Linked DNA regions of Bombyx mori. The protein of the gene in region 1 interacts with the protein of each later gene in a biochemical or structural test. Links are inferred from orthologs where the notes say so. Each region holds a gene or a part of one and is shown in the gene's direction. Other genes may lie near its edges.

The links.
Region 2: of the proteins of Cdk9 (region 1) and RNA polymerase II subunit A C-terminal domain phosphatase, one has a biochemical effect on the other in vitro, tested with the Homo sapiens proteins (3 studies listed by BioGRID). The link is inferred for Bombyx mori from reciprocal best matches to the Homo sapiens genes CDK9 and CTDP1.

What each region holds. Positions count from the first base shown.
Region 1 is NC_085130.1:9,751,058-9,755,320, forward strand, and holds the start of Cdk9 (cyclin dependent kinase 9), read left to right. Parts: upstream 1-1,319; coding exon 1,320-2,004; intron 2,005-2,548; coding exon 2,549-2,634; intron 2,635-3,183; coding exon 3,184-3,321; intron 3,322-3,936; coding exon 3,937-4,016; intron 4,017-4,263. UniProt on the Homo sapiens protein: Protein kinase involved in the regulation of transcription.
Region 2 is NC_085125.1:10,155,778-10,160,060, forward strand, and holds the start of RNA polymerase II subunit A C-terminal domain phosphatase, read left to right. Parts: upstream 1-1,232; 5' UTR 1,233-1,395; coding exon 1,396-1,613; intron 1,614-1,658; exon of another isoform or gene 1,659-1,873; intron 1,874-2,054; coding exon 2,055-2,202; intron 2,203-2,795; coding exon 2,796-2,933; intron 2,934-3,078; coding exon 3,079-3,329; intron 3,330-3,763; coding exon 3,764-3,903; intron 3,904-4,283. UniProt on the Homo sapiens protein: Processively dephosphorylates 'Ser-2' and 'Ser-5' of the heptad repeats YSPTSPS in the C-terminal domain of the largest RNA polymerase II subunit. This promotes the activity of RNA polymerase II.

The sequences.
Region 1 (4,263 bases):
AACTAGTGTTCGTATTAGTCCATATAGTTTTATCAGCGGCACACGCAGTGATAGAAAGAATTTATAAAACTTTTTTAAGAAATCACTTTTTGTCGGCCTACTTTAGTAATTCTGTCACGAAGCGCCTAGGTATTAAACTCAATTAAACTCAATTAATGTTTAGTTTATTCAAATTTTAGTATAATATTGCGTTATTTACCTCGAAGCGTCTTTTACTATTGTTGTGAATGTGTAACTTTTTGTAACAAAAACAAAAATCAATTCCGATGACACATTGACGTTTCTCTTTATTCGTTTTCATGTCAACGTTTAAGGGTCATTGACATCAAAACCTATAAACTCACAGTTTACCAATTTTAGATGTCTTACAAGCAATACTTTCGTTTTAGTCGATTTTTTGTATTTTCATTTATTTTAGAAACACTGTAAATTAATTAATTTGTTTTAACAGAAATTGTGGTAACCTGAATAACATTCAAAGAAAAGCAGTACATACCATCTTAATAAAGTTATTTAAAACCATGGATGTTTACTTTATTGTTAAATTAACTTTTTCGTTACAACTTCAGCCAAGTTAAATTGAGTAGATCAATAGGTAGTGTTTTAGTCCAAAATATATGTAATAACCGCTGCCTATTTTACCGTTTAACGCTATGCGAAACCTCATAAATATTTGAAATAGTCACTGGGTATGACTTTTCAAGTTCTTACAAAATTTTCTTTTTCCACTAAATTACGAAGTTTTAATGTGTGTTTCATTTCTAGCCATCCGACAATTGACCAAATCTTCAATGCTGTGGGTCGTGACCTCTATGGGATTTCAGAATCTCTCCGGTGGATTATCTTACGCCATACGTCGATATATTCTCGACGCTATAGATGACCTCAAATACGATAGTGTATTTGCGGTACGGATTTGGTCTGACCAGCGCAGGGGGACCTGCCCATCAACAACATCTAATTTCATTTAATTCCAATCCTCAATTAACTCTACTTCACTTTTTAAGCAACAGATATGGCGGGCATTGGCCTTTGGTACAAAACATTTTGATTTGGGCTCTTTTCTTTGCGTATTCAATAAATAAAAAATAAAAATTGATATTGACAGTTGACGTTTTAATTAGTGTCACAGTCTTCAGTCAGTGTTGCATTTCACTTCTTCCTATTGTGATTTTGCTGATAGGGTATCAATAAATTTCGCCGTTTCCAAGTGAAAACATAATTAATGTGAAATTTTTTAAAAGCTTTGTCTACACTACAATTAAAAATATCATATTCATACTAAAAGTTCGTTGAAAACCGCCAAAATTACGTCCAAAATGCAAAGCGTAAGTGCTCCGCGGGAGCCCACGCAACCAGTTTTAAGCACAACTTCAACTATATTAAACATGAGGGAAAAGGAGAAATACATAGAGGAATTCGACTTTCCCTTCTGCGACGAGTCTTCCAAATACGAAAAAGTAGCTAAAATCGGACAAGGAACATTCGGTGAAGTGTTCAAAGCGCGCGCGAGAAACAGTAGCAAAAAGTTTGTTGCCATGAAAAAAGTCTTAATGGACAATGAAAAAGAGGGTTTCCCGATCACGGCCCTGCGGGAAATAAAGATCTTGCAGCTCTTAAAACACGAAAACGTTGTAAACTTGATAGAAATATGCCGCACGAAGGCTACGGTTCACAATAAATACCGTTCCACTTTCTATTTGGTGTTCGACTTCTGCGAACACGATCTAGCTGGCCTGCTATCGAACGTGAATGTTAAGTTCAGTCTCGGCGAAATAAAAAAAGTCATGCAACAATTACTGAACGGACTTTATTACATACACAGCAACAAAATACTCCACAGAGACATGAAGGCTGCCAATGTACTAATAACAAAGAATGGAACATTAAAACTGGCTGACTTTGGACTTGCTCGAGCATTCAGCGTCGCAAAGTCTGGACAAGCCAATAAATATACTAATCGTGTTGTTACTTTGTGGTATAGGCCTCCAGAATTGCTGTTAGGTGAGTTTTTAAAACATATTATTTATTAATGAACAGTGTTTTTTTATGTAAACCATAATTTCTGGTAATAAGACAAATTGAGCTTGGATGAGTGGGCACCATTATTCTACTAACTCCTGTTGCTAAGTAGTAAGGCCTTGAAGTAAGCTCCCCTCCATGATGTTTCCCGAGAGCCTGTCTGTCGTCATGTCTTTCTTCAAACGAGGCTTGTGGAGAGTACTTCACGGTAGGCAACGGCTTGGCTTTGCTCCTAGTATTGCTGACGTTCATAAGCTACAACCACTCACCATCAGATGAGCCTTCTGCTCATCTGCCTACAAGAACATTTTTTTTTTTATCTAAAGCATCGAAGCAGTCATACATTTTAGTTTAAAGGAGACAAGTGTTATGTTATCTTTCATAGTGGGAGTGATTTTGAATAACTTATAACTAACATTTAATAACATGTAATAGTGAGTTGTCTTTGTCTGCTCATTTAGAAAAATATATGAAAAATGAGCTGTGGTGTGTTGTATCAGCTTTAACATGCCTTATTTAATTAAAGGTGACCGTAACTACGGTCCACCAGTGGACATGTGGGGAGCCGGATGTATCATGGCTGAAATGTGGACTCGCTCCCCGATCATGCAGGTTTGAAACTTTTCAAAGATACCGACCTGATTAAAACTACTTTTACAGTTTAATCTAGTTTTTTTTGCAAATCTAGTCAAAGGAAATAGATGCAGGGCCCTTGCTTAAAAATGCAGTAATAAGTTTTTGTGTTATCTAGTCAAAAATCACTGCTCTTGTAATGGGAAAGCATAAAATACCAAACCCTCTATTGAGTTTATTCAATAATAAACTTGCAATTTTATAATGATCACAAATTATATGCCATAAACCCCAAATTTAATGGAGTATTATTGGATAGACTTATTGGTTCAATGATGTTCATAGATAAAGGTTTACAATGAGTCACAAAATCTACGAATTATTTCTTTTCAAATTGATAAATTTTATTGTAATTGTATATTCTGTAGATATTTATGTTATTATTTTTAGAATATGTATAGAATAGTTTTAGAAATGACAGACTAAGAGGCTGAGGCTCCAGAAAGACAGACGATACACCACAGATCAGCAGTTAAAAAAAAAATTCTTGTCTACCATGGATCTTTGATTAGAAATGTAATATTTCAGGGTCCGACAGAACAGCAGCAGCTGATATTAATATCGCAGCTGTGCGGTTCCTGTACACCTGATGTCTGGCCCGGAGTGGAGAACTTGGATCTTTACAACAAAATGGAGTTGCCAAAGGGTCAAAAGAGGAAAGTCAAGGTGAATATGGAATTTAATCATTGAGATTTTTATATCTATTGGCTTAGTAAGACTGTTTGGTCAGAATCAGGGTACCTATGTACTCAATTGCAGTGTGGAAATAAGACATAATCATTTTTGAAAAAAAAAAAAGTTTTTTTTTTATCTTTGGCCGATAACACACATTCCAAGATGATATTTAAGGTCAAGGCTCAACACACTGCCTCATAAGTCAACATTTCATAGTTCATTACATATTTTCTTACAAAAACAATAAGTATTTTTGCCTACTGTCAACTAGTTATTTTATTTCTGTATCACCGTAGCCACCAAAAGCATTGTCAGCCATTATATAATTGTTATATCGGAATATAGGAGCAAAGAAACGAACATACATAATAACAGCCGGTTTATTATTGCACTGCACACTGCATAACACACACTGCAATAATACTATTGAGACTCAGATCTCATATCTCATGATGGGCGTCGAGAACATTTTGATGTTTGGTCCAGTGGGCATTTAACAATATGTGTACTTATTTTCCCATCTATGCCGCTCTCTCTTCACTGCATACTGTATATATTCATTCCAGCATCTCTTATATACTAATTAAGATTTGTATATAAACACAGGAAAGACTGAAACCATATGTGAAGGATCCCTACGGCTGTGACTTATTGGACAAACTGCTGCAGTTAGATCCTGCCAAGCGGTATGTATAATAGTTTACTTCCAGCTTACAATTTCTACAAGGAATTTATTCTATTAATGTTAATTGTTGATAGACAAGAAACTGGTTTTACCGGTGAAAGGACCTCTTGTGAGTCCGCACGGGTAGGTACCACCATCCTGCCTATTTCTGTCGTGAAGCAGTAATGCGTTTTGGTTTGAAGGGTGGGACAGCCGTTGTAACTATACTGAGACCTTAGAACTTATATCTTAAGGTGGGTGGTGCATTT
Region 2 (4,283 bases), on another chromosome or scaffold:
TTATGTGACGAATGATCGTAAGTATTAGATAATGTTTTGGAGACTTGTGACTTTATTACTCGGTGCCATAGTTGTTATTAGTTTGAAAGTATAAGTGTTTCAAAACTTTTTTCTCCGTTTGTTAGTAAACGAATGTAGCTATATAAGTATATATTCACGCGGACAGTTTTTGCTTTAATTTTGTACGTATCCCTTTATCTAGTTACTATTGTTGATCGAAGCCTACAAACGTTAGGGCGAAGCTGAAATAGCCTCTCAAGGCTATCATAGCATAGGTAGGAAAAAAAAAAAAAACGATCCGTATGATTGCTGACTAACGACCGCGTAGTGTGTAAGTTGAAGTCGTCGTGCCCTAAAGAATAAGACGTCTGGTGCATTCGTATCGAGCGATGAAACGGTTGAAGGTCGGTTTGAAGGGTGGGGCAGCCGTTGTAACTATACTGAAACTTATATCTCAAGGTGAGTGGCGCATTTAAGTTGTAGATGTCTATGGGCTCCAGTAACCACTTAACACCAGTTGAGCTGTGAGCTCGTCCACCAATCTAAGCAATAAAAAAGGTCACATAGACAGATATCCAATTAAAACCGTAGCGTATATACGTAGCGTTTTTAAGTATTGTGTACAAGAATGAAATTTTAATCAAAAAATATTTTCTTACGTGGCTTGTTTTCTTTTTAAACAGCGAATAAATTAAATATGCATATTGCAAATTAAATATGCTTAAGGATAATACACCTAAATTATGTAGGTAGTGAATATGGATCATAGTGTTAGTATCTTTACTCCATGTAACTCCATGATATGGATAAAGTGCAAAGAAACAATTTATTTAGTTAGTAAGTAGTTTAGTTTAATAGAATCCCTACATTAAAATTAGATACATCGTCTCTTGGAGAGCAAACAAGTTTTAGGCCTGCATTAGCATTTTAACCGAGAAGTAACAAAAATTTAAACAAGCTCTATTATTTTATTTTGTTAAAATAAATATTCGCTCCTGGCTTTTACACCCTGTCGCACATTATTAATTGGTACTCTTGCATCATCATAGTTTTTATTAGTAATATGCTATTGATGATATCTACTGTACTTGGCTTAATTTCTCAGCTTTACACTGCCATCGTGCGTGAACAATACGTTTCATACTCGAAAGCATTTCATACTTTTTTTAAATAAGTCTATGCTCTATGTATGCTCAAAAGCAGCCAGAATAAAAAAGGAAAGAAATTGTCTCTGCTCACAGCACGTTTTGGGCCGGATATGAACTCCTATTCGCCATGAAGATGATTGAACCTGTACTTTATTCTCATTGGCAGGAAAAGTGAAGCCGCCAAAACTGTTTTCGAATCACCAATAAGGTACTAGGATTTTGACAAAAAGCGTTATATCCGTTCAAGATGGCCGACAAAACTATACCTATTTTTGTTCCATCAGAAAAGCCTGTGAAACTCGCAAAGTGGAAAATAAAACAAGGTACTGTGGTAACACAAGGCCAAGTATTATTTTTATACAAAGATTTAGCGGGCGATGGTGAAGAGTTAAAGAAATTTAAATCATCACACGCTGGTACTGTGTCATCGATCAAGGTGAAAGAAGGAGACGTAGTAGAACCTAGGTAAGTGACGTCATGATAACAACGATAAAATAAAAACGGTGCATATATTTCATGATAAAATGTCTAACATTTATGTCATGTTTTATTCTCATTAGATGTGAAGCATATTAATAAAGCAACGCCATTGTTGCAAATCCATTTTATCGATTGAGCGCCAATTTTGAATGTTGAAAACATTTCCCGCCCTGCATGAAATAGCAGCTCGGCTGTGCCATTAACATTGAGGATGTTTTTAAGCGACGGTGATCACTTAACATCAGGTGGGCGATACCATCGTCTGTCTGACTTTAATTGCAAGCAATGACATCTTCGACTTTATTTTGTAAAGAATGTTATTTTTAAATTTGCTTCTAATGTACAATGTAAAATTTTATATCTGCCATAATATATTTATCAGACGATGTTATCGATTGTTTCAAACGTAGTATTTTGCGTTTACAGTTCGGCTGTAGCAGATTTGGAAGAATGCCGCCATCCAACAGTGATGATGGAGATGTGCGCGGAGTGTGGAGCAGACCTCCGCAGCGAGGAGACCAAGAAGCTGGACGTGGCCATTGTACCAATGGTACACTCTGTACCTGAATTAAAAGTAAACACTTTTGATTATGTCAATTACTCTGGAGAACAATTTACAAAATGTATTTATTTTCTGATGACAAAACCTAGTGGTAATAACATTTTATGAAAAGCCATTAGATCAGTTTAATTAAATAGATAAACAGTAGGGACAGCTTTAATTTAAATGAGAAGCTCCACTGAAAGAATGCAAAAAAAATCTAAAATATATCCTGAACTGAACGTAAGAAACGTTATTCTTAATAAAAGCCCTGGATTTGGGACTCATATTACAATTTGAATGTGAAATGTCATTGTCTTCAAAATCAACATTCTCACGTCTTAGATTTCATGTAGATCTTGATAGCAAATTATACCATCAATGTATATAAATCAAACTTAAACATATACATAATTACAATTTAGTGTATGTACCTACAACACCTTGAGCATTAGTTACCTGGACTGTGATATCCATACCCTATTTTCAAACTACATTCACAGGACAGTATTTATTAACAATATTAACAAGGGTCATGCGGGTGGTATTTGGAGATCTTCAATAGGGGTGTCATACTCAAGCTAAACTTAGATTTAGTAATATTTTGATTATATTTCATATTTCAGGTGTCTGAAGAACTGGCACAAAAACTAGGTAAAGAGGATGCTGAGCGTCTTCTGAAAGACAGGAAATTAGTACTTCTGGTAGATTTAGATCAAACATTAGTTCACACTACTAATGACAATATACCACCCAATCTAAAGGTGAGGGGTTTTTATTTTTCTTCTTCTATGCAATTGATTCTTCCCTAATAGTTTGAAATTGTGATTAAATAATATGTGATTTCATTAACTAGATACTGATACTATGTATACAATCTAATGTAATATGATTTTTTTGTTTCTTCAGGGAGTATTACACTTCTTCCTAAGAGGACCTGGAGGGCCAGGGCGTTGGTGTCATACGAGGCTTCGACCACGCACTCAAGAGTTTCTTGAATCAGCAGCAAAGAACTATGAACTTCACATATGTACATTTGGAGCCAGGCAATATGCACATGCCGTAGCTGAGCTCCTAGATCCGGAAAAGAAATATTTCTCACATAGGATACTATCCAGAGATGAATGCTTTGATCCTAGAACTAAAGCAGCCAATCTGAAGTAAGAATGATATTGCTAAGTAAAAGGCCTTTCCAACATTTTCAATAAGTTTTTTCTCTTGATGAGACAGACAATCAATTGTGGATATTCAGTATAATCTGAATCAAAGTAGGTTTATTAATAGACTAAAAACAGCTTTAAATTTATCAAATTGTGCTGACAGATAGAGTTTTTATCTAACTTTATCTATTAATTATCTAATCAACACTTTCTTTTATAACTGAATACTTTTTTAATAAGAAATAATTTGTGTGGACAAAATATTCTAAAATAATGCCTTTGTAAAGTTAAAATCTCTGAGTCCCATATCAATCTTGAATATTCATAACCAAAATTTTTCTAACGTATATAATTAATTTTTAAATTAATTTTAAATAGTTTTAATTGTGACTATTGTACTTTTTTGACCATTTTTTATGAACTATAATTTACAGAGCACTGTTTCCTTGTGGTGACAACATGGTTTGCATTATTGACGATCGGGAAGATGTGTGGAGACATGCTGCTAATCTAATTCATGTCAGGCCTTACTCATTTTTTCAATCGACCGGCGATATCAATGCACCGCCACCAAGTAAGAATCTCGTAAAAGAGAATATGAAATAAAATATTAAAACTAATAATTCTGGATTAACATACAAGTTTCAAATTTAAGAATGTTTGAATCTCACTTGTAATCCATACATTAGTAATAGTCCTTCTGAAGACTTTCTTTTGTATAGCTTAAAAAAAAAGACAGATACGAGGACAACATTTTTTTTGCTAACAAACACCTCATAGTCCACTTGGTATCTAGTAATTTGTACTATCCACCTAGAGATGAAATCAAAGTGGTACTATTACGGTTGTATTGTTGAAACCGTAATGCATGACTGTTGCAAGGCAGGATGATGGTTACCTGCCACAGTGTGATGAAAATGTCATATGACTAATAACATAATTTAAAATGTTTAC